4 linked regions of the Notamacropus eugenii genome follow. The protein of the gene in region 3 interacts with the protein of the main gene of each other region in a pairwise test. Links are inferred from orthologs where the notes say so. Each region holds a gene or a part of one and is shown on either strand. Other genes may lie near its edges.

Region 1 (7,461 bases), on a different chromosome or scaffold from region 3:
AAGTTTGTGTCTGACTCTACCATATGCTTCTGCCTTCTTGTTCAGTCATTTCAGTCATGTCTGACTTGTTGTGATGGTACTTGGGGTTTCTTGGCAAAGATATTGGAATGTTTTGCTATTTTCTTTTCCACTCATTTTGTAGATGAGGAGACTGAGACAAACAGAGTCTTGCCTAAGGTCACACATTTAGCGAGTGTCTGAGGCCAGATTTGAACTCAGAAACTTCTGGCACTATAATCCACTGTACCACCTCTCATAACTTATGTCTTACAGTAGCTATTAATGACTAACAAAGGTTAGACAGAGGAAGATGGACTCAATTCTTCACTATTACCCAGAGGTGGTTGCCATCCCTTGGGGCAGGAACTCTTGGTTCTCTCTAGGATCAGGTGTTCAGAAAGGGAAACAGAGAGGTAAACAACAGCTAGGAACCCTGAGGTTAAGGAGCTCTTCTTTGTATGACTGAGGCAAGCACATGCAGCTCAACCACTATATGCTTCTGATAAAAATCAGCCATTAATCAATCGATTAATTAACATTTATTAAATACCTACTATTTGCCAAGCACTGTCCTGAGCACTGGGGAAACAAAAAGAGGCAAAAGACAGTCCCTGATCTCAAGGAGATCACAATCTAATGGACAACTCCTTTGGATGGGGATGAAACTCCCTTTCCTCTGCTTCACCCTGAAAGAAACGCACAAGAAAAAGGAGAAAAAGCTAAAAAGAAGAAAGAGTGGAACCCCTGCTCTCTTTTATAGGTACAAAGGAGGTCCCAGAGAAAGTGCTGGTAAAGATTTAACAACTGGCTCTCTGAGAAACCTGTACCCATGACACAGTTGTAAGTATAATCTGTACTATTAACCATTTTTACTTTCTTAAGTCTAGAGAAAAACACAGTATCTCAAGCTCTGCTTTCTATCCTTTTGCTAATTTCTGAGGCAGAAATGCTCACACTGAAAATTTAACAACGGAGCAGTGGATAGAGTGCCAAACCTGGAGTTAGGAAGACTCATCTTTGTGAGTTCAAATTTTGCCTCAGACGGTTACTAGCTGTGTGATCCTGGGCAAATCAGTTGACCCTGTTTGCCTCAGTTTTCTCATCTGTAAAATGAGCTGGAGAAGAAAATGGAAAACCACTCAAGTATCTTTGCCAAGAAAACCCCAAATGGGGTCCCAAAGAGGTAGTCACCACTGAAATGACTGCACAACAAAAGTCCGTATGAGCAGACTCCTAGACAACTAAATATAACTTCTGTCCCTGAAACCCATACCCTATGAAGCTCTAAGAAATGGTTACAAAGTAACTAATTGATCTTGGGACAATATTTATCACTGAGAAGTAGGAGGGATCTGAGTCTAAAAGCATTTATTATGCACTAGCAGCTAGGTGGTGCAGTGGATAGAGCACTAGTGCAGGAGTCGGAAGGACCTGAGTTCAAATGTCACCTCAGACACTTGATACTCACTAGCTGTGTGACCTTGGACAAGGCACTTAACACCAATTGCCTCATCCTTTGTCATCTCCAGTCATCTTGATGAATATCTGGTCACTGGATTCAGACAGCTCTTGAGGAGAAGTGAGGCTGGTGACCTGTACAGCCCTCCCTCACTCAAAGTCAAGTACGAGTCATGTCATTATTTCTCTGATGACATGGTCTTCTTTGGCAATGAAGGATGAATCCACTGTTGTGTTATTGGGGATATGAAGAAAGGCAAAAAACATTCCCTGTTCTCAAGGAGCTCACATTCTAAGGGGGAAGACAACATGCAAACACTTGTGTATGAATAAAATATCTAAGGGATAAATTTTATACACACACATTATATCTATATATCTATATCTATATATACATAAGGCACTAGCATTAAGGGGGATGGGAAAGATTCCTGGTAGAAAGGGCAATTTTAGCTAGGAATTGAAGGAAGCCAGACAAGTGGGAAGACAGAGATGAACTCCAAGAGAGAATTATTGGGGATAGCCAGTGAAAATAAATGGAGTCAGGAGATGGAGTGTTTTGCTGGAGGAACAGAAAGGAGGTTGGACCCAAGGGTAAGTGAAATAAAGTAAAATGTAAGAAGACTGGACAGGCAAGAAGAGTCTTGGTTATGAAGGTCTTTAAAAACGATCAGAGGGTTTTGTATTTGAATCTGGAAGTCATGGGAAACTACTTAAGTTTTTGTCCTCTTAACAAGATGTCAGTGTGAATATCCATATTCTCTATGGTGAGGTGCTTATCAAATGTTATAAATAAAGGCTTTCTGGACTTTGTGACCATAAGTAAATCAATTAACCTCTCATTGACCTCTGCAATTTTTTAAGACCATAAGATGCAGGAAAGTACTAACCTGACTTTGTGGAGGGAATTTCCTCATCCGGGAGTTTCCTATACCATTAGTGTCAAATTCAAAAAGAATCAGATCTCTGTAGATTACATATGAACTTAGAAACCCAATGATCCATAAGCTCTATTGTATTTTTTATTAATTTTGTTAAACAAGTCTCAATTACATTTTAATCTAGTTCTCCCAGTCATTTTGTCAGCTTCTTTCCAGGTTCATCTTGCTGGGAGTTTGACACCTTTATCCTATACCAATAAAATTATGGGGTTCAGTTCCCAGCTCTATAAAATTCAACATAATGGGATTGAACAATGAAAATGTGTAATTTATTGGAATCTGAGGGAAATTATTAGATTGAACTTTATGTCTGCAAAAATTTTTACAGACATTTTATTAGTTACTTCTAACCACCTTATTATACAGATTTGTTTTGTTACTGCCAGATTTTAAGAAACTAAGGTTTAAGGAGTGTACAAAGCTATTAAAAACCCACAGTAAGAACCTGAATTTTCAGTCCAGATATTTTTCTGTTGTTCAGCCTTTTGAGTTATGTGGTTAACTCTACCATCTCTTTGTTAAGGTGAGAAAGGGATGGTACTCATGACTGAAACTTAAGCCTAAAGTTAATAAGGTCAATATTCATCTATTTTATTAACACCTTGGCTAGAACATCTAAAAAGGGCAGAATGTACTGGTTTGGATTTTGCTTCCTATTCATCTTACCCATTCACTAAAGAATTTCCTAATAGCTAATTGAGTGGCCTGCAAGTGGGTAGCAGAAGATAGTAGGGAGGCTGAAATCCCATAAGCCAAACCCTGAATGATCAAAGCTTAAGAGTTCATAAGGATACTCGGTGTTTTACATAAGACCACTGAAATTCTTACCCGTAGAAATCTGAAGTTGTTATTCCTGCACACTCTCTTATGAAAATGTAGCTAGCCAGAATAAGGATTGTTGAATAGGACCCTTAAGGGAGAAAGAAGAGGCCTGAAGTCATTAATGCTGGCGTAGGAAGCAGATTTTAAGAGGTAATAATGTCACTACTGTGGAACATGAAAGTTCCTGTTAGTTACGCAATGTGTACATTTCATTATTCACATGATTTCACTAGGTGATTATGGAGCTGTGTACATAGCAAGTCCTGACTGTAGCACGGTCACAGCCTCTGAAAATAAAATGAAATATAATTCTATCACTCATGTCTTTGCACCAGGGCTATCCATGAAGAATATTTCCCTAAATTATGACCCATTTTCCAGTTTAATTTATTTTTTGAAAGTCATTAAATTGTTTTCACAATCCATAAAGTCCTTGGATATACTTTGTTTCCAAAATTTCTACTCTGCATATGAAAATGAAGCGCCAGATAATGAAAATCCTGGAGGGGGAAACAATTCATTTTAACAAATATTTTTAAAATACCTTCTATTCCAAATTGCTTTTTATGCAGTTATAAAGCTCTCTTGTTTACCCTTTTCTCTCCTAGAGATGATGGGGGTTTTGGTGAATGTCTGAGGGTAACCCTGTTCTATTTCTTTGATATTCCAAAGAAAGGTTCAACTGCAGTTTCTGATGTATTAGACTATTTACTTATTCCTTCCTGCGCTCTTTCTTCAGGGATTATTTCTGAGAAGTAGGAGGCAGTATGGTAGGAGACAAAGACTGGTTCTGGAGTGACAGGAACTGGGTTCAGATTCTGATTTTGTTACAATGTATTACCTTGGGCAAGCCATCTAAACTTGCAAAATCTAGTAGTTCTATAACTGAGCACTAGGTGACCCTTAGGTAGGGACCTATCAGTTCAAGATCTATGATTCTATTATTGATATTTCTCCATTAGTTAGTCAATAAACATTATCAAGCACCTATTAATAAGTCACTGAAGTGCTACGGTACCTGTTAGCTGGTCTCAGGGTTGGCCAGAAGTTTAACTGTTATGGGAGATGTGTGCATGGGCAGTGAGCCAAGAGTCTTTATGGTGAGGGAAGAATTTCTAATAAAAAATAAGGAAAAAAACCCCCTCCAAAGCATTAGAGTGTTCTTTCATTTCAGTCAGTACTGTACTAGCACCCCCATGGGATGTTTCCTGATAATCTTTCCACTCCCAGGGCAAAGAGACTTATTAAGACTTACCTCTTTTGGAATACATGCTCCACCCCCAGTGAATTGTACTTCGCAGTTTCTCTAGTCTAGCTTTATGGTTCTAAGTTATATAAAGTAGGGCTTTAGACGCACGCTCTCACAGTCTGCACAACAAACCTCGGGCTCTGGCAGCTACACACAGACACACGAACGCGCGCACTCACACTCAGGAGTACAACGCAAGGGAACACACACACACACACACACACACACACGCACACACGCACACACGCACACACACACATTCAGAGCTGGGAAGTTCGTGCTGCCTCACTGGTCAGCAGAGAACAACAGGCTTTCTCGAAAGTCAGGACCGCCAGCCCGGAGAGAGGAAGGTGCGGACAAGCTGCCCATGGCTGACTTGAGTTTCATTGAAGATTCGGAACCCTACACGGGAAAGGAGGAAGATGATGAAGAGGAAGAGGAGGAGGGTGTGGAGTGGGGTTACGAGGAAGGTAATAGAAAGCCCTGCACGGAGTTGGGTTATCATGGTTAGGAACAAATCTGACAAATGTCCAGGCTGTGGCGGTTCGGGCGCTGTTCACCCTCCGTGTGGCCCTGGGGTCTTTTAGGCAGGAGGGCGCGGTGGGGTGGGGGTCGGCGGGGCTGCTGGCGGTGGCGAGGACAGCTGGCACTGGGCAGCCTGGCAGCGCCTAGCGGAGACTGACGGGTGCGGGAGAGCGGCGGGGAGCGCCGAGGCAGCAGCTCCGCTCCTCCGCCTCCTGCTGTCGCTTGCTCCGGGCTGAGACCTGAGACCTTGCCCTTGGTCCCTGAGGGAAGCCTCTGAGAGCGCCCATCCAGCTGGGCTGCCTGTCCCTAGCACCTCGCCGGAGTCCCTACTGCCCTTCCAGCAGGGACCCACCTCAAACCTGTGGCCTGATTTTCATTGTAGCTGCGACGGAATATAATTTTTGAGGATTTGTTGGAGGCAGAAAAGCTTTTCCACCTTCGAGACGAGTTTTTGATCTTCTTCCTTTTCTGGTTTCCTGAATTCTCCCCTCCTCCCCATTGACTCCTGCACCTCAAAAAGTGATACTTCATTATTTGGCTATGCTTGCCTGCACCCCCACAAGTCCCTTCCCGTACCACCCCGCCCCCTCCCATTATCACTATATAAACTTGATCTGTATAGAAATCTAACCGGGGAGGCAACACACGAACACATTCTGTAGTTAGTCTAATTTACTTCAACAGCTGCTGTTCTTTTTGAACTAAGTTCTCAAGTTTTTGCTAGAAGATAGCATAGCTAGTGAGGGATATCTAATGATACAGAGTGTTGATGGTGCCCTGTTTCACCAAAGTCTTTAATTTAGACCAATCATCTTGACTTGAGAGCCAGTGAGGCATCATGGATAAAGAGCGGGACTGGCCAAGGAGTCAGAAAGACCTGTTCAAATTCTTTCTTAGACGTATTCATTCAGGCTGTGTAACCCAAGGCAAGTTACTTAACCTCTCTCTGCCCCAGATTACTCTACAAGTAGGAGTTGCTGATTTATATCCTTTTAAAAGTTAGGACCATAAAACCAAACTGGAATGTAACAAAATTAATGGTTTCAGAGTTATTTAAAACTGTTCTAGAGCAACTTTTACTGGACATTTTCAATGTTACATTAGTGAAATTTCACATTATCTTTATAAGCAATGCATTATGAGTACAATCAGCTCTTTCTATATGTCAGTTTCAAACTGAAAGTCTCTGAAATGCAGGAAGGCTTTCTCAGAAGTTTCTTTTTATACATTTAGGTCTGCTAATATTATTTTGAATGATTACTGATATGTAAATGCTTGTATTCACAAACTTACAAAATCTATAATTATGTCAGTTTAAAAAAGCATATAATGAATTTGTGTGATACATTTTTCACATTTGCACACATAGATACCACATATACATATATGTGTTATATATAAACTCACTAATATCAGTTATCATTTTCCATTTATCTTCAAAAGTGTTTTTAGCACCACACTTGCCAGTTCTATTTGTTCCACATTGAGCACTGTTGCTATTACCAGTGGTTTGTGATAGTTTAGTGTTTGTTGTCATTTTAAGATAAGTTTGCCTTCAAGCCACAAATCACATAATTATATCCACATGGTAAAAATAAAAGTATTGTATTGTGCTATAAATCAATTAAATGTTATGAGGTTTTGTGGTTTTTAATGAATGATTTGGGTAACATGGAATCTTTGCACTGTAGCTTTTTCAGAAAGCCAAATATTGCTTCAAAATCTAATGAAATGTATTTATTTCTTTTACCCATGTAATTGATCATAAAACAAGTTGTATCTTATTGGTGGAAGAAGTGTTAGGGTCATAAAACAGAAAACATAACTTTGATTTTTTGTTTCACACTTTTTATATGTATAACCTACAAAAAAAAAGACCACTTTATTTCAAGTTTATTATTTATTTTATTCTCAGGAGTTGAATGGGGCTTGGTATTTCCTGATGCTAATGGAGAATATCAATCTCCTATCAACTTGAATTCAAGAGAAGCCAGATATGATCCCTCACTGCTGGATGTTCGTCTATCTCCAAATTATGTGGTGTGTCGTGATTGTGAAGTCACTAATGATGGACACACGATTCAGATTGTTCTGAAATCAAAATCAGGTATTTAAAAACTTCCATTTCCTCTGCTCTCATCATTCAGTAAATTAAATTGTTGTTATTATGACCTACAAAATATGAATTGAAAAGCTTCTATGATAATAAGGTAGATAGGGTAACATTTCTATATTTTCTGGAAATATACTGATTTATCTTAGACATTATATTTCCTTTTCCTCAAAGACTATTATTAAACAAGGTTGTGAACACACATATATACACAAATAGGTACAAATATATGTGCGTATGTATATGCATATATATACATATATATGTATATATATATGTATATATATATATATACACACACACATACACACACATATCTCTATCTCTATGATTTTTTTTCCTGGAATCTTTTT
Region 2 (7,266 bases), on a different chromosome or scaffold from region 3:
TTCCAAATTGCTTTCCAAAGTAGTTGTGCCATTTCACAGCTCTACCAACAACGTTATTATGCCTATCTTCTCTTACTCCTGCCAACATTTACTGCCATTTTTTTTTTGTCATTTTTGTCAATTTACAGAGTGTGAGGTGAAACCTCAGAGTTATGCTGATTTGCATTTCTCTTATTGTGAATGATTTGGAGCATTTTTTTTCATGTGGTCATGAATATTTTGCAGTTCTTTTGAGAAATATTTGTTGATATCACTTCATTATATTTTGGGAAATGGCTAATACACTTACACACAAATATGTACCGTAGATATGTTGTTCAGTCATTTCTCAGTCATGTCCAACTCTTTGTGACTCCATTTGGAGTTCTCTTGGCAAAGATACTAGAGTGGTTTGCCATTTCCTTCCTCAGCTCATTTTACAGCTGAGGAAAATGAGGCAAATAGGGTTAAGTGACTTGCCCAGGACCACACAGCTAGTAAGTGTCTGAGACTAGATTTGAACTCATGAAGATGAATCTTCTTGACTCTAGGCTTGGCATTCTATCCACTGTGCCACCTAGCTCCCCTATACATACCTACATACATAAAATATACATATATACATATATGTATATACATATTAATTATTTATAAATCTTTCATACCAGACTCTTATCAGAGAAATCTGATATGAAGTTTTTTTTACATTCAACTATTCCCTTCTTATTCTAGATGCATTAATATTTTCTACGCAGAGGCTTTTCAGTTTCTTTTCTTTCAGGTTTTAAAACTCTTTATTTGTATAATAAAAATTGTACATTCAATAATTAAAATAATTTGAAAAAAATGACACTGATTAACTCCATTTTACAGCTTGCTAGAACCTTGGTACTGCTTTGCATTTTACTGCTAACTAGATTTTCTGTAGAGCCACCTCAGTTCTTCTAAGACTTTTCTGTTTCAAGTCATCAAAGCTATCCATTTTATCTTTTATAATTGGTTCCATCTCTTGTTTGATTAAGAATGCATCTTTTATCCATAGCTATAAAAGTTACATGATCTGTTTCTTTTCTAATTTTTTAATAGCATGATCTTTTATGTTAAGGTCATGTATCCATTTAAAATGTGTTGTAGTATGGGCTGTTGGTCTAAGCTTAATTTCTGCCATAGTGTTTTCCTATTTTCCCAGCAATTTTTATCAAATAGGGAGTTTTTCTATAGATAAGTTATGTTTTCCATTTTATCAAATACTGTGTTATTGAAATTCTATTTTTTCTGAATCTCCCTTATCTAGTCTGTTCCAACGATCTCTTCTTTAGTCAGTACCAAATAGTTTTGATGACTGCTGCTTCATCATATTATTTGAGGTCTAGAAGTGCTACTTCTAGAACTTTTCATCATTCCCTTAATATTCTAGATCTTTTGTTTTTCCAAATGAATTTTTTTATTTTATCAAGCTCTGTAAAATAGCCTCTTGATAATTTGATTGATACTAACATTAAAAGTACAAATTAATCTTGATAGTAATTGTCATTTTTATTATATTGGCATGGCCTAGACACAGGTATTTAATATTCTTATAGTTATTTAGGCTATTTTTTAATTCTTTAAGGAGTGCTTTGTAACTGAATCTATACAAGTCTTTTGTGTGCTTTGGGAAGTTGATCCTTAGATATTTTGTGCGTTTTTTAGTTATTAAGAATGGGATTTTTCCTTTTTATTATTGCTTCTTGTGTTTTGTTATTATTTTATGGAAATGCTGTTGATTTTTGAGGACTTATTTTGTAACCTACAAATTTGCTGAAGCTATTGTCTCAATTAGTATCTTTACTGATTCCCTGAGTTTTACCTCAGCAAACCATAATATCATCAGTGAGCAAGGATACTTTTATCTTCTCCTCACCTATCTTTACTTTCTCTTGCTACTGCCAGCATTTCTAGAAGTATATAATAGTGGGGAGAGTGGGCATCCCTTCTTCACTTCTGTATTTATTGGAAAAGATTCTCGTATATCCCCATTAGATATGATGGAAACTTTTGTGTTTAGATAAATTTTTTAATGATATTTTAAAAAGACCCCTATATGCCTATACTTTGTAGAGTTTTTCACATAAAAGGGTGTTTTACTTTGTCAGAGGCTTCTTCTGAATCTATTAAGATGATCATGTGGCTTTAGATGGTTTTTAATATGATTAACTAAATTAATTGTTTTCCTAATGTTAAATAATCTACACACCTGGTTGAAATTTCTACTTGATCATAATGAATGATTTCTTGGATAAATCATTGTAATCTGTTTAAAAGAATTTTGTTTAAAATTTTTGAATCAATGTTCTTTAATATCGGCTCATACTTTTCTTTCTGTGTTTTATCTGTCCCCAGCTTAGATATTAAGACTATGTTGGTCTCATAAAAGGATTCTGGTAGGGTTTTTTCTTTCTCAATTTTTGAGAATAATTTGTGAAATATAGGTACTAACTGTTCCTCAAAAGTTTAATGGCTTTGTCCTGTGAATTCATCGAGTGCAGGAGTATTTTTTTTCCTTTGGTAGTTCCTTTACAGTGTCAGCCGGATCCAAGTGACCTCTAATTTGCTGATGGCCAGAGCCCAACAGAGCAGGCTGGATTCAAGAGTGTCAAGAATTAAACAGAAATTTAATTTCAAAGTTAGGAAAATGGCTTGCAAGCAAGGAGGCAGATTAGATACATGTGTCAGGCTCCACTCCTAGCTGGGGAGGCAGCGTTGGGAGATCTCAGTATCACACCAAAGACCATGCAGTGAATTGTAGCCCTGGCAATGAGGGATAAGAGCAACAATGAAACAAGTTTAATTAACAGCAGGGCTCCATGACCAGAACATGGATACTTGTCCAAGTTCAGAGAACACCTGGTGCTGCTCAAAGCAATACAGTAACTACGAGACGTTCCTACTGCTCTCCTCCCACCACTACCCTAACCTCTTCTCGTTTGTTAGCCCTTTTCTCTTAGGGCTTTATTAGCTCCTCTCTTCTGCTTTTGTCTGGTCGTATATTTCTTCTCCTGCTTTTTTCCTTTCAGCCAGAAGATGCCCCCTTCTCCCTTTCATCCAAGTCATGCCTGTGATCCACGTGTGTCCTTCATTGCTCAGCTCTGGGACGTCTTCTCTCTCTCTTTTAGTTTGACTGATGATCTCCTCAGCTCCGATGGATTTAATTAACATCTCTTTGCTGATGACCCTCACATCCACCTTTCCTGTTCCCATCTCTCTGCTGACCTCCAATCTCCTATCTCCAATTGCCTTTCAGACATCTTGAACTGGATTTGCAACAGACATCTTAACCTCAGCATGGCCAAAACAGAACTCATTAGCTTTCCCCCAAATCTTCCATGTGGCTACCCCTTCCCTATTACTGTTGAAAGCAATGCCATCCTCTCAGTCCCTTAGGCTTGCAATCTAGAAGTCATCCTGGATTCATCTCATCCCCCATAGCCAATCTTTTGTTAAAGTCTGTTGATGTTACCTTTGCAACATCTCTCAAATATGCATCCTTTTCTCCTCTGCCACTGCTCATTGTGATGCAGGACCTCATCCCTCCCTACTCAGAAATAGCCTGTTGGTGGGCCTGCCTGCCTCAACTCTCTCATCATTCCGATCCATTGTTCCTTCAGATACCAAAGTGTATTTCCTAAAACATAGGTCTGCTCACATCACCACCTTACTCAATAAACTCCCATGGCTTCCTATTGCCTCCAAGAACAAAAACAAAATGTTCTATTTGGCATTTAAAGTCCTTTATAACCTAGCCTCCTCTTTCCACTCCAGTCTTCTTACACCTTACTCCCTGACACATATTCTTTGATCCAGGCACAATGGCCTCCTGCCTGTCGTCTCTCTGCTCTGAGCAGTCTCCCTGACTGACCCTCCTGCCTGAAATGTTCTCCCTCCTCCATTCCAACTCCTGACCTCCCTGGCTTCCTTTTTCAGTCTCAACTAAAATCCCTCTTCTTCAGGAAGCCAGTGCTTTCCCTCTTTTAATTATTTCCTATTTATCCTATATATAGCTTACCTTGTATCTATTTGTTTGCAAGTTGTCTTCCCCATCAAATTGTAAACTCCTTGAGGAGAGAGATTGTCTTTTTCCTCTTTTTGTATCCCCAGAGCTTATCAGTGACTGGAACATAGTAAGCACTTAATAAATGTTGCTTGATTGATTTTGAGACCTATGATCCTTAGACTGTCCCTATACATTCTGTATTTGAAATTCGCTTGTTTTGCTTTCATAGTAGGCATATTTTTTCTTTTAATATTCTTATTTTTCACTTCTCTTCTTTTAAACTGTGTTTCCCATCCGTGTGCGGGGTCATGACATATCTTACCACTATGTACTCCAGTGACTCTGGAGAAGACAGCTCTGCCTCACTTAAATCCAATTCATTCGCGAGTCAAGACAACACCCTTCTGACGTCATTGGTCCTCTTCCAGAACGCAGGACCACCACTGCCAACAAAACAACCCTCTCATGAGAAATGGGGAAACTGAAGCCCAGAGAAAGAGATGTAACAAGGAATTTTTGCATCTAGGCAAACAGCTGAAATATGCCTTCTGGGAGGCGGGGGGCGGGGCAGGACCTGTGTGTGTTTTGATGTCCCACCCTGTCTCTTGGGGACAGAAACTTGATCTTGGGAGTGTAAGAGAAATTATTGTAATTCTTGCTAACTAGGTGCTATTTCTAAGATGCGAGAGTGGTGCAGAGGTGACTTTGGAGTCCCATAGCCTAAATCTGAACTCTGTGACCTTGGAAAGTCAGCTAACATCTCTAGACCGCAGCTGCATCCCCTGTTCAATGAGGGGGTTGGCCCGGGTGACCCTCCCAAGTCTAGATCTTAGATGTCAGCTGGGGAGTCAGGAACCGGCCCCGTCCCCTGGGCCTTCCCTAGAAGCCGGCCGGCCGGTGGCTGCCGAGGGTGGACGCACACAACGTGACCCCGCCCCAGAGGATTTTTTTAACATCTAGAAGGCTTCACAAGAAGAAGAGGTCTGTGGGTAGGGAAGCTGGGGAGAGATGACACAGGGAAAGCCGAGGGCATTTTCCGGGATCAAAGTCGGCCAGCGCAATTCCCCCAGCGGGCCGCGGGGCCCACCCTGAGAACCGCTCCCACCCGACAGCTCCTCCCAATGCAGAGAACAATGCAATCCAAGGACACGCTCCCTAGGTTTTCTCCGCGGCGGACTGACGGGGCGGGGCAGGGCGGGCCAGCAGAGTTTTCTGGGAAATGTAGTGCCTCGTTCTTCTCCTCCGCCGGCTGAGCGGTTAGCTCTCAGTGCTGGAGAGGGGAGGGCGCTGCTCTAGACTACAAATCCCACCATGCCTTGCGCCCTCGGATGAGGTGGGCGTGGCGGCGGGAGGGGGGAGGGGTTGGGAACGCGGCTTTTGCGGAACAAGGAGCCGAGGAGAGCGGACATGGCTGCGGAAGGTGTCGGCGACGGCGGCTGCTCGTCCAGCGGTGGGGGCGGCTTCAGGTTCCCAGAATACGAGATACCGGAGCTGAACACGAAACCCTTCCTCGTGCGGGCCGTGGGGGACCTGTGGAAGGAGAGGCTTCTCGGGGTCCGTGACTTCTCCCTGGAGCCGCCTGCGCCCAGCAGCCTGGACGGGGCCGGAGCCGGCGAGGAAGATGCGGCCGTGGCCGAAGACCTGGGCTGCAGCCTGGAGACGGCGGCCGAGCTGAGCCTCGTGTGTGGGTGAGTGCTCAGGGCGGGCAGGAGGGTCCCCGTCTGAACTCCTGCTCTGCCCAGGCCCTCTTCCCACCCCCCTCTTTAGGACCGTCCTCGGACGCTTGTAAATGAAATAGGCCATTGAGGACAGTGGGGGGATGGGAGTGAACTAGAGGTGGGGAAGAAGGAAAGGGGGGGGGTATCCTTCAAAGAGACCTCAGAGACCAATCTTGCCTTTGTTATCGAGGAAGGTGCTTATCATGAAACAGTAGCAAAAGCTGATAAAGGAAACCTTTGGATGATGGACAAGTCCGGGAGGGAGGAGCTGGCGGAAATGTAATGGAAAGAGCACTGGAATTGGAATCAGATCGGTCAACCTTTAGTTAGTGCCTGCTATGTGCCGGGCAATTGTCCTCGGCGCTGGGGTTACAGAAAGAGGCTGCCTTCAAGGATTAAGATCCCGAATAATGGGGGAGACAAATCAGTGGATCTGGGTTTAGATCTCAGTTCCTAGGTGACCCTGGGCAAGTCTTTCACCTCTCTGGGCCTCATTGCCTCTGTTAAAATGAGGAGGTTGGATTGAAGTTCCCTTCTGGCCATGATTCTTGTCATCTCTGTGAATCCTACAATCTGCAACATTGTATCACAGATACCAGTTTTGAGAGTTTCTTTGTGGTGGAAATGCTGCTTAGTATCTTCTTACTGATGGTATCTTTGGTCAGTTTCCCTCACGTTCCTGCAAGAAAAGAACCTTTCTGAGAAAGAAAAAGACTTGATCTCATATTGCTACTCACGGTATTGGAAAACTAGAAATAGTCGTGTTCAAATTTGGCCTCAGACATTTGGCAGCAGTGTGACCCTGGGCAAGGCTGTGTTTGCCTCAGTTTCTTCAACTGTAAAATAGGGATAATAATAGCGCCCCTCTCCCTGGGTTGTCGTGAGGATCAGATAACACTTGTGAAGTGCTTAGTTAGCACAGTTTCTGGCATAGGGTACTAATGCTGTATAGATATTAGCTGTTATTGTTATCAGCTAATATCTTCTTAAGGAAGGTTTGTTTAATGGATAGAATGTTAAGCCTACCAGTTACATCTAGTGTTCATTTCACAGTAACTGTACCAAAAATATTTCATTGAATGAAGTTGTCTATTGTGATATCACAATTCTTTAACCTTACTTTTTAATTTCACCTGAATAGACCAGGATGGTTAGCTCATTGGTTAAAAAAAATTTTAAGTTATTGCATTTCCATCTATAGCCTGGATAAGTTGAAGTACTGTGAAGAGGAGGATGATCCAGAAGTCATTCCTGAAGACACCAGCCTAGTGACTTTGGGGTATAGTAGACTTTGATTTTTAAAAGTTCATTTATTATGTAGTAAAGTTACTTAATACACACAGTACTTCAATAAGACTAATGTGAAAATGTTTAATAGGAATGTACATGTGAAGTCTATATCAGATTGCAGGCTCTCTGGGGAGGGAGGGGGAAAATTAAAAACTTATGGAAGTAAATGTTGAAAACTAAAAATAATTAGCTTAATACACACAGTACTGTAATACAAAATATTTGCATGATAAGGTTTCTAAGCAT
Region 3 (7,316 bases):
CCCCAGAGGGAGTGTCTGGAACTGACACCTCTGGGACCATGTCCATGTGGGGATGGGGGGAGGAGACACTGGAAGGATTGTCCCCGCCCCCCCCCCCCCCAAGGTTGGAAAGGTGGTGGAGCCACCCCCAGTGCACTGTCCTCCAATCTTCTCAAGACTGGGAATGACACCCCTCCACTTTCTCCACCTGTCTCACCAAGCCCTGGGAAAAAATCAAGGCCAAAGGTAAGACTATCCACTTTATCATGACTCCAGTCTGTTTCAACCAATTCTTCTGGCCCTCCCCTGTAGGGTTATGGGCATCAAACGAGAAATTAAGGGACATCATGAGACATACCCCTCCCCTGCCTACTTGAGAATCTGTTTGAATACTCCTTCCTTATGCTCTCCTCTGGTCCTGCCCCCTTGTTGAGAAGGGACCTAATGGCGAAATCAGGGAGTCAATTTTCTCTAGTTAAAATTCCCTTTTCCCATCATTCATCAGACACCCCCTGCCATGTTCCCCCAGAAGTGTGGAAGACAGGCCAATTATTTGGGATCTGGGGACTCCTGGGCCAGCTTCTCATGCCACTCCAGCCTTTGCTCACTTTGAAGACCACAGTGGTCCCCCAGGCAGTCAATAGCTAATTATCCTGAAAGGGCCAGGGTCTCCCATTGCATCCTGGGCCATCTCCAGTCATCCTGATGAATATCAGGCCACTGGATCCAGATGGCTCAGGAGGAGAAAGTGAGGCTGATGACCTACACAACCCTCCCTCACTCAAACCAAAGTCAGCTGCAGGTCACATGATCATCTTGATGTCCTATTCCTCTTTCAGAATGAAGGACAATAGCTAATTAAGCCCAAGGCCTGGAGGGACTGCAACCATTAATTACTACTCAAGGCCTGACTCACTCCTTCCAGAAGCTTCTGAGACTTTGAAAACTAAATTAATCACCACTCCCTCATAAGCTCTCCCCAATCTAGAAAAATCTTTCACTTAGTATGTTGAAGAAAGGAGAAGACAGGCTTTGGGAGTCCTAACCCAGTCCTTAGGACCTAACCCCAGGCCTGCTGCCTATTTTTCAAAAAAATTAGACTTGGTGCTTGCTGTGGGCCATTCTAACTGAAGTTGCCTCTAAACTTACACTTGGCCAGCCCCTGGAAGTTCTGACTCCCCATGGAATTCAGAGCATCTTGGAAGCAGAGGGCCACAGGTGGCTGGCCAGCCACAGGCTCAGCAAATCTCAAGCATTGCTCTTGGTACCTCTGACTTAATTCTTTGAGTGTGCCACACACTCCAGAGCCTGAAGCAGTGTGGTACACAGAATAAGGGGTTAGGAGATTTAGGTATGAAATAGTCTCCACCACACCAGAGGTCAGATCCCTGCCCCCCTGGGACTGCTGCCCAGAAGGCAGAAAGCACCCACCAGAGCCCTAGAGCTTCAGGAAAATAAAAGAGTAAATGTTTGACAGCAAAAAAAAAAACTCCCCTTTCAAACCTCTGCTCCTTTTGTGCCTGTTTCATCCTTGTTTACTTAACCTCCTTCCAACTTTGGTTCAAGTCATCAACTTTCAGATGACTGCAAAGGCTATGTACCCTTTGAACAGGACTCAGTGAGGCTAGGACACCTCTACTCCCCTTGCCAGCAGGAAGCTGAGACCTTTGCCCCTTACCCCTAAAGAATTTGGGTGCCATTTGTTTGAGGGGGGAATGACAGGTTATAGGCTCTGGAAGCCCCCTTGAATTCTCCACAAATCTTTCCACTTGATCTGGGAGTCGCCTGAGACTACAAGCTTTCCATTATCACTGAGCCCAAATCTGTTACCCTTAACCTAGCCTAGCCCTTCATTGTCTGTTATCTCCAGGTAGCCTTCAGTTACTTCTCATTATTTTCTTGGTTTCTGGAGTCTGACCCCAATCCTATCAAGATCCTCCTTGGACCCCTCCTCCCATCACCCCACACTACTTGACCAACCTGGATGGTGCCCACAGTCTATAAGATCCATGAAGGCGCTCAGACTCAATCTTGCCTGCTGGCAACAGCGATACAGATGTTCAGATTCCTTAAGCAGCTAGACAACGCCGAGATTCCTTAAGAGTCCAGCCGATATGGTGGATCTTTAATAAACTGTTTTTCTACGTATGTGTAGAACCCATATAAGATTGCTTGCCATCTCGGGGAGGGAGAGGTAGGGAAGGGGAGAAAATCTAAGACTAACAGAAGTGATTGGATAAAACTGAAGACAAATAAATTAATTTTAAAAATAAACAGTTTTTCTTCGGTTGAAGGAAGGCTTGGGTCGAGAATTCGGGCAGGACCGGGCGTGTTCCTGTTTCGGAGTCCCAGCACCGTCAAACCTCAACACTGCTGGCCCCAGACCTTCCCGTCTTCCCGTGACAACTCGGGCAAAGAGCAGTTTCAGCCTTGGGCACAACGTCCCCAGGGACGTGGGCGGCTCTTTCCTATAGCCCTTCCCCTAAGGCTCCCACTGCAAGAATCCAAAGCGTCTCCTTTCCCTAAATCCTCCTTTGTCAATTCTCCTGGGGACCCACCCCAGGCTATTTTACCTAACCGTGCCACCTCTCCACCAAGTCCAAGTCGGGCTATCGGATCTAGGTCACCACCCCGAGTCTGAGAGCCCATCAGCCCGGATTATGGGGGCCCGGGGACATCCCCTTCTCCCCAAGTTCAGGCTCACCGAAGGCGCGCACGATGCCAGCGCCTATACCCCGAGCACCGCCGGTCACCAAGACCACCGGCACCTCGCTGCACGGACCCGCAGCCATGTCCAGCCCCCGGGACCACTGGCCTCAAGTCGGACGATTGACCTCACTCCGGTGTGTCCGGCCCTCAGCCACTGCCAGCGTCGAGGTTAGAGCTCGAGTCCGGGTTGGCACAGGGTTGGCCCAGCACCACTGGCCCCTTTTAGGTCCACCCACCTTCTTCCTTTCCTCCCTCCCCTTCCCTCTGCCCACAACCCTAGACCCCTCTTCTAATCGCTCCTACGAGGATGGATCGATGAGACCTTGGCCCAGGCCACAACCTGGGAGATCTAGGAGCCTCCTTCCACAACGCCGCCCAGGCTCCTGGAGGATAGCACCCTCCCTCCGTCCACGGGTTAGGGAAAGCCAAAAAACTACAATTCCCATCAGGTCCCGCGAGCAGAGGAGCAAGTCCGACGGCCGAAAACGCCCCACAGCTTACTGGGAGATGTAGTTCCGGCCTCCAAAAGACCGGAGAGGAGCTGGAAGGGCCCTCCCCCTGCTTCAGCCCCCAGAAGGAAAGGAGGAAGGAGCCAGGACTGAGTGATCACAAGCGAGTTTAATAAAGACTGACATGGAAAGGAGGGATGGAGGGAGGGACGGTCGTCCGAGACCCCCCAGGCCCCGCACGCTTCGCCTCCAACTGTCTGCAGCTCGGCCGCCGGCTCAGAAACTGGACTGGAGCAGCGTGACTCGCAGAGGCCACGCCCCCTCCTCTGGCGGAGCCGCCCCTCCCCACGTGGGGGCCCAGGAGGTGGGGCCTCCTCGGCCCCGCCCCGCGGGAGGCGGGGACCCTATGGGAGGTGAGCGAGGGGGCGGAGACAGCCTGGAAGTGGAGTCTGGAGGTTGTTCTGGGCTCCGGGCTGCGGAGAATCAGAATGGACCGGTCCACCCGCGGGCCCAGTATTTGAGCCGCCCGGCCTCGGGACCCAGGAGTCCGGAGCAAGGGCTCGATCTTCCAACTACAGTTCCCACGAGGCCCCCCTTTGCCCCGGTGCTGACCTGCGATAAACTTCTGCCAGTGCGAAGCCTCAGTCGCCAGGGCGTGGGACAGGCTGAGGACCCTTTCCCGATGTCCTTCTGGGGACGGCACGTAGGACCGGGAACTCCGAGAGCTGCAAACGCGGGGAGGGGGGGATCAGCGAGTTCGGTCGGCCAAGCTACAAGACGATTTAAAGGGGCCCGGGGATCGAGGGCACTGTCATTTAGAGTCCCCCTGTCCCCCAGGCTTAGAAGGGGAGTGTACCTTTATTTACACCCGTGCAGAGGAGTCAAGGGGATGGGAGGCGAAAGGGATGTGACCTACCTAGGATCGCATAGATTACAGCTAACTGGCCGTCAAAATTTGAACCCAGGCTTCCAATTCATACCTCCCAGCCTCTTGAGAGCCTGCGCTTGTTCATTCTGTCACCCCTGACACGCAGTAGGAACTTCATACATGCTGTATTATTGTATCACACCAGGCTGAAGTCAGCTGTGTTGCCTTTCCCCAGCAGAAAAGACTGGGAAAGTTGGGGCCAGAGCTTTCGTAGAGGGGATAGACTCTTAAATGTCATTGAGTCCAACATGCCTTCATTTCACTGATGGGGAAATTGAGGCTTAGGGAAGAGGAACATTACATAGCAACTGGAGGAAGAGATTAGAGTCTTGGGGCCAGGTTCTGTGACTTGGGTGCCAGGGGCCACTGTCCTCTTCCACTTAGCCCAAATTTCTTACCTGCTCCAGGACCCAGAACTCCGGACCCTCTGCTGAGGAGCTCCTGTATGGCCCATGGAATCCAGGACAGGCTAAGAGAAGAGATACCAGAATGTAAATTGCTGGATCGTTCCAAGGAATAGGGGCCATAGTTAGATGTCTAACTCCCAGCCTTGGTTCTATTGAGATGAGATTTGGCTCCTCTAGTTCTCCCCCTGCCCCTAGTCTAGCCTATTCCAAGCCAAACCCAAGACTCACCCCCTCTCTCTCTGACCCAGGCTCCAGCTGCCTTCCAACTGCTGAGGGAAGGGCTGTCTGGCCCCCTGGAGAGAGTGGCCGGAGCCTTAGCCTCCCCACCTCTTGGTGCCTACGCATTCTCTCCAGTTGCTCCTGTGCACTCATCCTGACCCGGGAGGCTGGAGCCTGCAGACAGAGGGCAGGAAAAGACAAGAACTCCTAAACTCCAGGGACCCTGGGGATTCAGGTCACAGGACAGAAGAGATTTGCAGTTTAGGTCCAATCCCCTCATTTTATAGACTAAGGCCCAGAGATAGCCAGGAACCAAAAGCAGCTGAGCCAATATCTCAGATCCTGATGTCTCTACAAAAGCCTGGAATCTTCCTGGGATTCCTACCTTAGGCCCAGTTGGTAATGGTGGGGATGGAGATGGGGCAGGGGATGGAGAACACTGGCCATCTGGACTTTGGGTCCGGGGAGAGCTGGGTGATCCAGGACCTGAGGGGAGTACAGAAGAAGGTTGTACTGGACATGAGGAAGGCTGGGGGACTCTAAAGGGCGTATCTCACCTGGTGGGGCACCAGGCCCATCTTCATCTCCATCCCCATGGGGATGACCCCAACTCCGATCCCCGAGTCCAGCCAGTGTGTCCTCTACCATCCATAGCTGCTGCTGGGCAGAGACCCTGGCCTGCAAGAGTTAAGCGTTGGGAGGTGGGCAGCGGAGAAGAGAAGCTCTGGCAGGAGGGGTGGGGCTTGAATAGATTTTGGGAAGGGGCTTGGAGCTGCTGAGGGAGAGGGAGTCGGCGGAGGCTTGGCATTTGGCAGTACCTGAGGAGGCCCAAGGTGCAGCAGATCCTCTAGGGTCTCCCGTAGAGTTCCCAGCTCTTGCTCCAGGCTGCTGTAGGTCTTCCAAACCCTCTCCCTTTCCTCCAAGGACAGGAAAAAAGGGAGATGAGCTCTGGTAAACTCCCCTCCCCCCACCTATTTCTCTGATTTGGCTCCTGGGACCCTCACCCAGGATGCTGAAGGCTAGGAATGCCAGAAACCCCTAAGAAGGCAGAGCTGGCCAGGGTCAGAAAGGACTACATTTCCCATGAGTGGTTAGTAGCCTCAAAGTAGGATGGTCTTTGTAGAGTTCAGTTGGGCCCCCTACCTGGGCCAGGTGGCACAGCGCAGCTCTGACGCCCACCAGGCGGTCCTGCAGCAGCCGTAGGCGAGACCAGGCTCTGGTCCCTGGCCCAGGCTCCCCCACAGCCCGGCGAGTCAGCTCCAGGGCTGCTTCCAGCCGTTCCTGTGGTGGAGGAAGGGAGGATGGTTAGAGGGGATACAGGAAGCCAACCTCCTAGTGCCTTTGTGCCCCCTTCCCCTTAGATTTCACATCCCCTGCCCCTTAGACTTCACCTCTCCTTGGCTACATTGGATGCCCTCCTGGACCCTAGCTCTCACTGTGCCCCTCACCATGCACCCTCATGCTCCTCAGTGCCCCCCTTGCACCTTGCTGCCCCTGCCCAGCCCTCAGCTCTCCCAGTGCCCGCCCCCCCCCCCCCCACCTTCTCCTCCTGGTTCTTGGCTGTCTCCTCCATCAGCCTCCTCCAGAGCCGGTCCTGCCCGCAAAGCTTAGTGAGGAGCGCCTGCGGGCCAAAAGGGGCCAGGCCTAGGTCAGAAGTGGCTCTCTCTTCTCAGAACCCGCCCGAGGAGGTGCAGGGCTCTGTCCCACCCGCACCTTGGCCACCTCCGCTGCTCAAGGCCCCCGGGACTCACGTCGGTATCCTCGCTTCGGTGCAGTGGGGAATCCAGCGCTGGGCCCAACGGCTGCGGGAGAGGGGGTTGCTGCAAAGGGAACCATATAAGTTCCTGCCTTTGGGACTCCACCGGCCAGCCTCTTCAGGGGGGAGCGGGAGGGGAGACACCTACCAGAGAGGCTGAGGAGCCCCGACTCCCTGGGGGTCTGGGGGCCAACTGCAGATATCCAGGCCCTGCCTGCGGAGACATTAGGAAAGTATGGGGGGTGGTGTTCAGAGTACCGTTCAGCACTGAGATTTTGAAGGCAAAGTCCCCAGGAGACACAGTGCCTAGTCCAAAGAAAGGGGCATCCTCCAGTTATTGGTTTCTACAGGGCAGGCAGGCTTACTAAGCACTTTTCTAGTCACAATTTGGGGAGTAAGGGAAGACAGGGTGGTCCCCAGGTATCTTCCTCCTTTCAAAGGTAAGAAAACTGAGATTCAGGGAGATGGCCACGGTCACTGTAACTGTGAGAGAACCTTGGGGGTGGAGGATGTAGGGGGAATGTCTGGGCCAGCTTCACAAGTTGAGAGAGCCTCAGGATTTCCTGACTCCACATCAAGGGAAGGGCTCTTTCTTCTCTCCAGAAGGCCCTACAACAGCCCTCACTCCCACTGAGGCAAACTAGCTACAATGCCCTAGAACTTCTGAAAGCCATGGGTGGTAAGAGAACACCATAAGCATCTATGGCCTTCCTCAGCTGGAGGCTCACAATGGCCTAAAATCTCCATAATGTCTTAATAAGAATGGTCATCAGCCAGCCAACTGGACTGACTGGCAGACTTTCCCCTTCCACATGTGACTACACAGGTCTGACCATGGACTACACAGGTTGTTAGTAGGGTAACCTAGG
Region 4 (6,929 bases), on a different chromosome or scaffold from region 3:
GATCATTAACAATAACAACTCAATTTGCTTCATTTTTGCAAAGCACTTATTTCACAACCACTACGTGAGGCAGTGAAGGTATTATTATTTCCTTTTAACAAAAAAGAAAATTGAGGCTCAGAGAGGTGAAATAAATGTCCATTTCAGAGTGTCAGAGTATTCTTCTGAAATTAAAAGCAGGAAAGGATCCTAGAACGAATACAGATTGTTGCAACACAGAATTTAATTCAATTCAAGCATGAAGTTCCAATTATGAACAATGCACTGTGCTAGGTACTAGAGATATAAAGACAGAAATAAAATAATCTGTACCATCACAGAGCTAATATTCATAAAATGTAAGAGCTGTAAGAAACCTTAGGAAAAAAAAGTTAGAACACAGAATCAAATATCAAAGCTAGTCTCTATCTTAGAGATTATTTAGATCAGCCCTTTCATTTTTACAAACTGAGACTCGGAGATTAAGTGATTTGCCTGCAGTCACACATCTAACAAGAGGAAAAACTAGGACTAGAACCCAGGTCTTGCAAGCCAACATGCTTTCCAGTATAACAAACTGTAAAGTACTCAAAGTCTCTCCCATACCCTCGACATCATCCTTCTTCACCTTTCCCATTAGTCAATGTTCAGAAAATAGAAAGTTATAAAAAGATGCCAAATCCAACTCAGTATTAATAACCTTTGGACAGACTAGACTTCATGTGTCCAGTGGCACCAGTAAAGTTTAGTGCACTCTCACAGGAAGCCCTGCAAGCTAGAGGTAAGTGTGCTGAGTGGATAACCAGACCAAATAATCTTCAGCAACAGTCTTCCAAATATAGGCCAGGCCACAGCTATGAACATGCAAATTTCACTAAGAGTTGCTCAAATCAGACTAATAAAAGAACAGAAGGTGGCTGTTCTTAGCCCACAATCTAATGGAAGCAGGATAAAGTACCTTACAGAGATTACATCCCATCTCTCTTATCTGCAACCTCCAATGGAAGCAGGAAATACTATAGTAGTGTAAAAAGTACCAGACTTTTGGGTTCACATCCTGGTTCCACCACTTATTAGTGTCACCCTGGCCTATTCATTTTTCTAAAGTGGCTCTCAGTTTCCCAATATGTAAAATGGGGATAAAATAATGAAACACCTTCTTTACATACTTGTTTGAATAAAAGTAGGCAAACGTTTTGTAAACATAAGGCACTATAGAAAGGTTCGCTATAATTACTTTTCTTCTACTAAAACTAGATCTCTAGGTGTCTCACCCTTCTCCAGACTCCTTTAGGAAGACAGAAGTTAAGGCCAGTGACACCAGAAACCACAATTTTGTTTCCACAAATAGGAGATGCCGTGGCCTCAAACACCAACACGAGTAGGCCTTTACCCTCAAAACAGGCTTAGCGACATTTCCAACATTGTCAGGACTCAAACCATAGTCAAATCCATCTGTAATCAAGTTCATTAAGCCAGAGGCTGTGCAGGGGCCTGAGTTCTGGACCTAATCAGCTCACCAGGTCACAATACACAGGTTACATTCCCTCTTTGGTCTTCCTTTATCCCATCTGTCCAATACCCATCCCAGTTCAAACACAGACAGCATTTTCCCCCAATACCTGTTTTATATAAAACACAACTGAAGCCTGTAATTGGCATTATTTTTAAGTGTATACTTATGTCTTTCTTTTCAAAGATCTCTTTTTTTTAAAAAATCACATTTTAGGGATATAGATTTATTAAGGGGAATTTCATCATTATCTAGTCATTATAGCAATGTGTATACTATCTATGTCACCAGGCTGTTGTGAAGAAAGCATTTGGTAAATTATAAAATGGTATACATGCGTAAGCTATAATAATAGTTTATTCTTCAGTCCAATAAAGTATACTCTCTCCCTCAACTGTACCTATTATTTTTATGTTATTTAAATCTGTAGAATACTTATCTATGTGAACATCTTATATCCCCACACTAGACTTTCCTCTTGTATGATAGGTACTTAATACACCATTATTGTAATCATTCTCATGTTCAACCAAAGAATTCGTAAAAAACTGACTGACTCCCTACTGGTCTATGGGCAGACACTGGTAATATTCCAGAGATGGGAGATCATCTCCAAGATCAGCTAGTCTAATTCCCTCATTTTTCAGAGGAGAAAGCTGAGGTGCAGAGAAGGGAAATGCCTTGAAAAGGTGCCTATTTGGCCAGCTTCAGCTCTGGGATCATGCCATGTCTCACTTAACGAAGGGCAAAGGCCCAATTCTTGGGCCTTCCTGTATGCAGGAGAGGGAACTTTAAAAAAAAAAGGTTAAAGATAATTTCTGGTCATCCTAAATCTGTACTTTGTTGCACTGATCGTACAAACCTTTGCCTGGTTGGCTGCTTGCCAGGTACATTCTGCACATATTCTATGTTATCTGAGCAGTGAGGCTGAACATCAGAACACTCTCCTGCTGGTTTTTATGTCATTTCTTTCTCTATAAAAACGTGTTGTGTGAAGTATCATCTAGGAACTCATCTTTCACATTCTGAACTTCTGTGATTCTAAAGTTAATACAAAATAGCTCCATCACTTACAAAAAAAAAAAATAGGAGCAAGAAGAGAAAACAAATAGTGCCAATGAACCCAACCCCAAAGCTAGAACACAGGAGACCTGGGTTCTAATGTAGACTCTTAATAACTGTTTAAACCTGAACAAGTCAAAATCCATCTTGGCTTGTTTTTCTTCACTCACAGAATGTGTGTTGGACTAAACAATCTCTTCCATGTTCAAATATATGATTTTCTGTCCAAAGTCACACAGGGGTTAAGGTTTCAATTTATGTGCTCTAACAAGCTATTCTGCGTGTTTCAGGAGCTTAGGCCAAGGCATTTCCTAACCCCACTCACCTGAGCCATCTTCAAAGCTGGCATTCCCTTCCTAAATATGCAGGCATGGGAAGATGATGGAAGAGCACCCAGGTCTAAGCAAGCCAAGGGCACAGGGTAATGCTGGAGAAGACAATGCAAGCATCCAACGGTGGGCCAGCACCTGTAGGAAAAACGGACACTGGAAAACTTAGGATAAAGGTCAGTAGGTTAACTGTGGGGTCACAGGAGGAGTTGTTATAACCACGTGTGGCCTCTAACCTCATCTATGAGAAATAGTAACAGTAATTCATCTTTCTATACCACCTTAAAGGTGACAAAACATTTCATTATTACACCACCACCACCAAAAGATTCAAGAATTATCCATCTCCATTTTCTAGAGCAGTGGTTCTTAATACGAAGTTTGCTGTTGGGGTTTCTCTTAATATATGAGGCTGGTGACCTGCCCAGCCCTCCCTCACTCAAAACAAAGTCACATCATCATTTCCCCAACGGCATGGTCTTCTTCTGCGTCCGACCAAGGACGAACACACGTCAACCTAACTGGATTCTTTGTAATCTTGGTATTTTAGCTTATGCATCTAACAACACTGTTCTGACAGGGGCTCTCCAGACATCACCACCCTGCCCAAGGACCCCAAGGCACACACACACACCTACAGGCACAACTGGCATTTCAAAGGGACGTGACGTGCCCACTGCTATACAGCTAAAAAAGCCGGGCACAGAAATGCCGAGTTTTGGCTCCAAGTCCCTTTGTAAACTGTATAATGCTGTCTGAATAATGCTGCCTGCTGATGGCGAGGCATTAGAGAGCGGAGAGAAAGGGGGGGCGGGATGACGCAGGAACCTGGGTGGGGGAGGGGAGGGGTGAAATTCAACGGAAGGAAAAAAAGGTTGGGGTACGAGGGTCTGACTCCTGGGGATGAACTCTGGGTGGGGAGGGGGTCGGTGAGAAAAGATAGGGAAGATTTAGGAGAATAGGCCACTGACGGAGGATGGCCCGGAGAGAAATGAAACGTTGCCGAGAGCCTGGGCCAGAGTTGGGGCGATAGAGGGAGGGATCTGCTGGGGGAGGGGCGTGCGGGAACGCGGGGATAGAGGCCTCGGACTTTGGGAGCGGAGGAAGGCTGCGGATGCAGGAAGGAGAAGGGAAGGGAAGAAGCATGGCGTCAGGCGGTAAGGGGAGAGACGCGATGGGAGGAGGGGGTGGCGGATGGGCAGATGAACGGAAGGGCCCGTCCTGGGGGAGAGGGCCACATGGCGGGGGAGGGGGGGGGGGCCTGGGTGCCGGAGGGAGAATCTTAGAGGCGGGCGTCTGGTCTCAAGGGGCTAGGCCTCTTACCCCGGAAAGAGGAGGAGGAGGAAGAGGAGAGGGAGGAGGTGTCCCCTACGGGGAATCCGGAGACGGAGACAGAGCAGGAGCCGGATCCGGATCTGGGCCTAGACGGGTCTCGAGATGCGCGGCCCACCCTCCTGCTCACGTCCCACCAATCGCTGCGCGACGTCGGATACGGGCGCCCTCCGGGGGCGGAGTCACGCCCCCAAGCCCCGCCCCCTCACGGACTAGGGGCGGGGGAGGGGGGAGGGAGGATACGGGCTGGCGCTTTAAGATGCTCTCCCTTAACCCCCTGAGGTAAGGCAGTGCTGGGGCGGGCCCTCCGGGTTAACGATTGGAAGAGAGCTAGGCCCCAAGGTCACGGGGCTGGTGAGTGACCAAGCCCGGACTTAGAATCCCCCTGGGGTGGGGAACCTGTGGCCTTCTGGGCCCTCGGGGGCGGCCTTTTGATGGAATCCAAGTTTTACCAAACAAATCCTTTTATTAAGGGGACTTGTTCTGTGAAGTCTGGGTTCAGTCAACGGGCCGTTCTTGAGGACCTCGAGGCCCACGTGACCTGTAGGCCGCAGGGTCCCCACCCTGTGCTGGACCTAAAGCTTCTGGAGGGCAGAGACTCACGTGTGTCCAAAGCAGTAAGTCCTGCTTGAGGAAAATGATAGTTATGACGAATCAAGACATATACAATGTATCTGTCTGTCTGCATCTATGTATCTCTACACACACAGGAAGGCGGGGCCCCCTGGGCCCAGGACAGTGATATATGTATATATGTCTGTATGTATATATATATACACATATACACATATATATGTGTGTGTATATATATACATATATATACTTATATATATAGATCACTGACATACATAGCAAGAGATGGATAGATTTGAATCAAGTTGAATTCCAAGCCCCAAAAGTCCAACACACCTTGGTATCAGTATCCACCTTACAGCAGAACCCTATGTTGAGTATTGGGACTGAGCAAATCACTTAACATCCTAGGCCTTTGTGTTTTTCCTCTGTAAAATAAGGGCTCTGGACTCAATGATTCCTAAGGTCTTTTTTTTTTTAAACCTCTGATATTCTATGGTTATTGTGACCTATGTGAAAGTTTCCAGTACATCTTTTGCTGAATTGTAAAAATTTTAATTATAACATATATATCTCTAAAGTGACATCTGTTTTGTCCATATTTTATAATAGTAGCTGTAAAATTAGGGATGCATTCATAGTCTCTTTCATAGAGCAGATACTCAAAAAATATTTATTGATTGAATGTTGATAGAAGGAAGGGGTTAAATATATGACTTTCCCACTAGCACGCTGGGAATGCTTTGCAAACTCCTGAGAATTTTGGAATTTGGGATTTCCCTATTTCTCTAGGGTCCTTAAAATGCCTCTCATGACCACTTAGCCTCTTACTCTATATTCATAGGTCCTGTTTCTATGCCATATTCCCTAACCCCTTTAATCTACATGTTGGTGAATGATATACTACATCCAGTAACAGCTCACAATAATCTAGGTAGTACAAGTATTATATACGGTATTACAAATGAGAAAAATGAGGTCCAGAGAGATTAACTGATCTGCCCATATTCATGATTAGTAAGTCTTTTTATGGAATTTGATCCCATCAAGTCTAATGCTCGTATATATATATATATATATATATATATATATATATACACACATATATACATACAGTGTGTATATGTGTATGTATATGTGTGTGTGTGTATGTGTGTGTAATATGTATGGGCAGCTAGGTGGTGCAGTAGATAAAGTACTGGGTTTGGAATCAAAGACTCCTCTTCATGAGTTCAAATTCTGACTCAGATGTTATAACTGTATGACCTTGGACAAGTCATCTAACACTGTTTGCTTCAGTTTCTCATCTGTAAAGTGAGCTGGAGAAGAAAGTGGCAAACCACTCCATTGTCTTTACCAAGAAAATCCCAAAGGGAGTCATGAAGAGTCAGACATGACTGAAACAATTGAACAAAAAATAGTTATGTATATGTCCATAAATGTATAGCTATATCTGTATAATCATGGTTGGACTGAACGAATATACTAAAAATTATAATACCAAAATTAATTTTCAGATTTAGTGGTATATCAGCCACATTACCTAGTTGATACTTTACAGGGCTAGACAAAATAATAGCAATTTATTTGGAAGAATAAAATGTCTAGAATTTCAAGGAAATGATGAAAAAAAGAAGTAAGAATGATGATGAAAATAATACTTGCAGATCTCAAGTTAGACTATAAAATAGTTATCATCAAAACTATTTAGTACTCGTTAAAAGGTAGATCAGTAGAAGAGATTAGATCAAGAAGAATAAGAAAGAATTTAAGTCAACCCAGTGTTAGATAAACCTGAGAATATAAATCGTTTGGGAAGAACTCCCTCTTTGACAATAATTTCTGGAAAGTTTGGCAGAAATTACATTTAGTCTGACATATATCATCATAACAATCTCAAAATGGTAATACATTCTAAATATGAAAGGTCAAGACATAAAAAAATTAGAAGAGAATGAGATCAGCTGCCTTTTACAGCTATGACTAGGGGAAGAGTTCTTTTAAAAAGTTTACTAATATCTTTGGTTTTTATACCACCTTCATTTCCTAACATCCCTCCCACCTCCACCCAAAGAGTCATCCTTTATAACAAAGAATAAAGAAGAAAGGGGGGAATAAGCCTTTCAGTGAACCTAACCACC

The links.
Region 1: the proteins of HSD17B14 (region 3) and CA8 interact in binary tests that used the Homo sapiens proteins (3 or more experiments, as listed by UniProt). The two-hybrid records come from large-scale screens. The link is inferred for Notamacropus eugenii from reciprocal best matches to the Homo sapiens genes HSD17B14 and CA8.
Region 2: the proteins of HSD17B14 (region 3) and SNAPC3 interact in binary tests that used the Homo sapiens proteins (3 or more experiments, as listed by UniProt). The two-hybrid records come from large-scale screens. The link is inferred for Notamacropus eugenii from reciprocal best matches to the Homo sapiens genes HSD17B14 and SNAPC3.
Region 4: the proteins of HSD17B14 (region 3) and MPG interact in binary tests that used the Homo sapiens proteins (3 or more experiments, as listed by UniProt). The two-hybrid records come from large-scale screens. The link is inferred for Notamacropus eugenii from reciprocal best matches to the Homo sapiens genes HSD17B14 and MPG.

The regions. Positions count from the first base shown.
Region 1 is NC_092875.1:279,396,061-279,403,521, reverse strand, and holds the start of CA8 (carbonic anhydrase-related protein), read left to right. Parts: upstream 1-4,460; 5' UTR 4,461-4,837; coding exon 4,838-4,940; intron 4,941-6,910; coding exon 6,911-7,102; intron 7,103-7,461. UniProt on the Homo sapiens protein: Does not have a carbonic anhydrase catalytic activity.
Region 2 is NC_092872.1:27,901,044-27,908,309, reverse strand, and holds the start of SNAPC3 (snRNA-activating protein complex subunit 3), read left to right. Parts: upstream 1-4,255; 5' UTR 4,256-5,419; coding exon 5,420-5,700; intron 5,701-6,931; coding exon 6,932-7,009; intron 7,010-7,266.
Region 3 is NC_092876.1:12,640,922-12,648,237, reverse strand, and holds the start of HSD17B14 (L-fucose dehydrogenase), read right to left. Parts: upstream 3,006-7,316; 5' UTR 2,772-3,005; coding exon 2,684-2,771; intron 2,076-2,683; exon of another isoform or gene 1,991-2,075; coding exon of another isoform or gene 1,960-1,990; intron 1,929-1,959; exon of another isoform or gene 354-1,928; coding exon of another isoform or gene 353-353; intron 1-352. Other genes in the region: PLEKHA4 (pleckstrin homology domain-containing family A member 4), read right to left, coding at 3,414-3,610, 3,750-3,862, 4,464-4,534, 4,701-4,865, 5,077-5,177, 5,249-5,369, 5,510-5,608, 5,835-5,972 and 3 more. UniProt on the Homo sapiens protein: Catalyzes the NAD(+)-dependent oxidation of L-fucose, yielding L-fucono-1,5-lactone, which rapidly converts spontaneously to L-fucone-1,4-lactone. Can also act on D-arabinose and L-galactose, with lower catalytic efficiency. Does not use NADPH.
Region 4 is NC_092872.1:55,219,184-55,226,112, forward strand, and holds the start of MPG (DNA-3-methyladenine glycosylase), read right to left. Parts: upstream 3,010-6,929; 5' UTR 2,904-3,009; coding exon 2,880-2,903; intron 1-2,879. UniProt on the Homo sapiens protein: Hydrolysis of the deoxyribose N-glycosidic bond to excise 3-methyladenine, and 7-methylguanine from the damaged DNA polymer formed by alkylation lesions.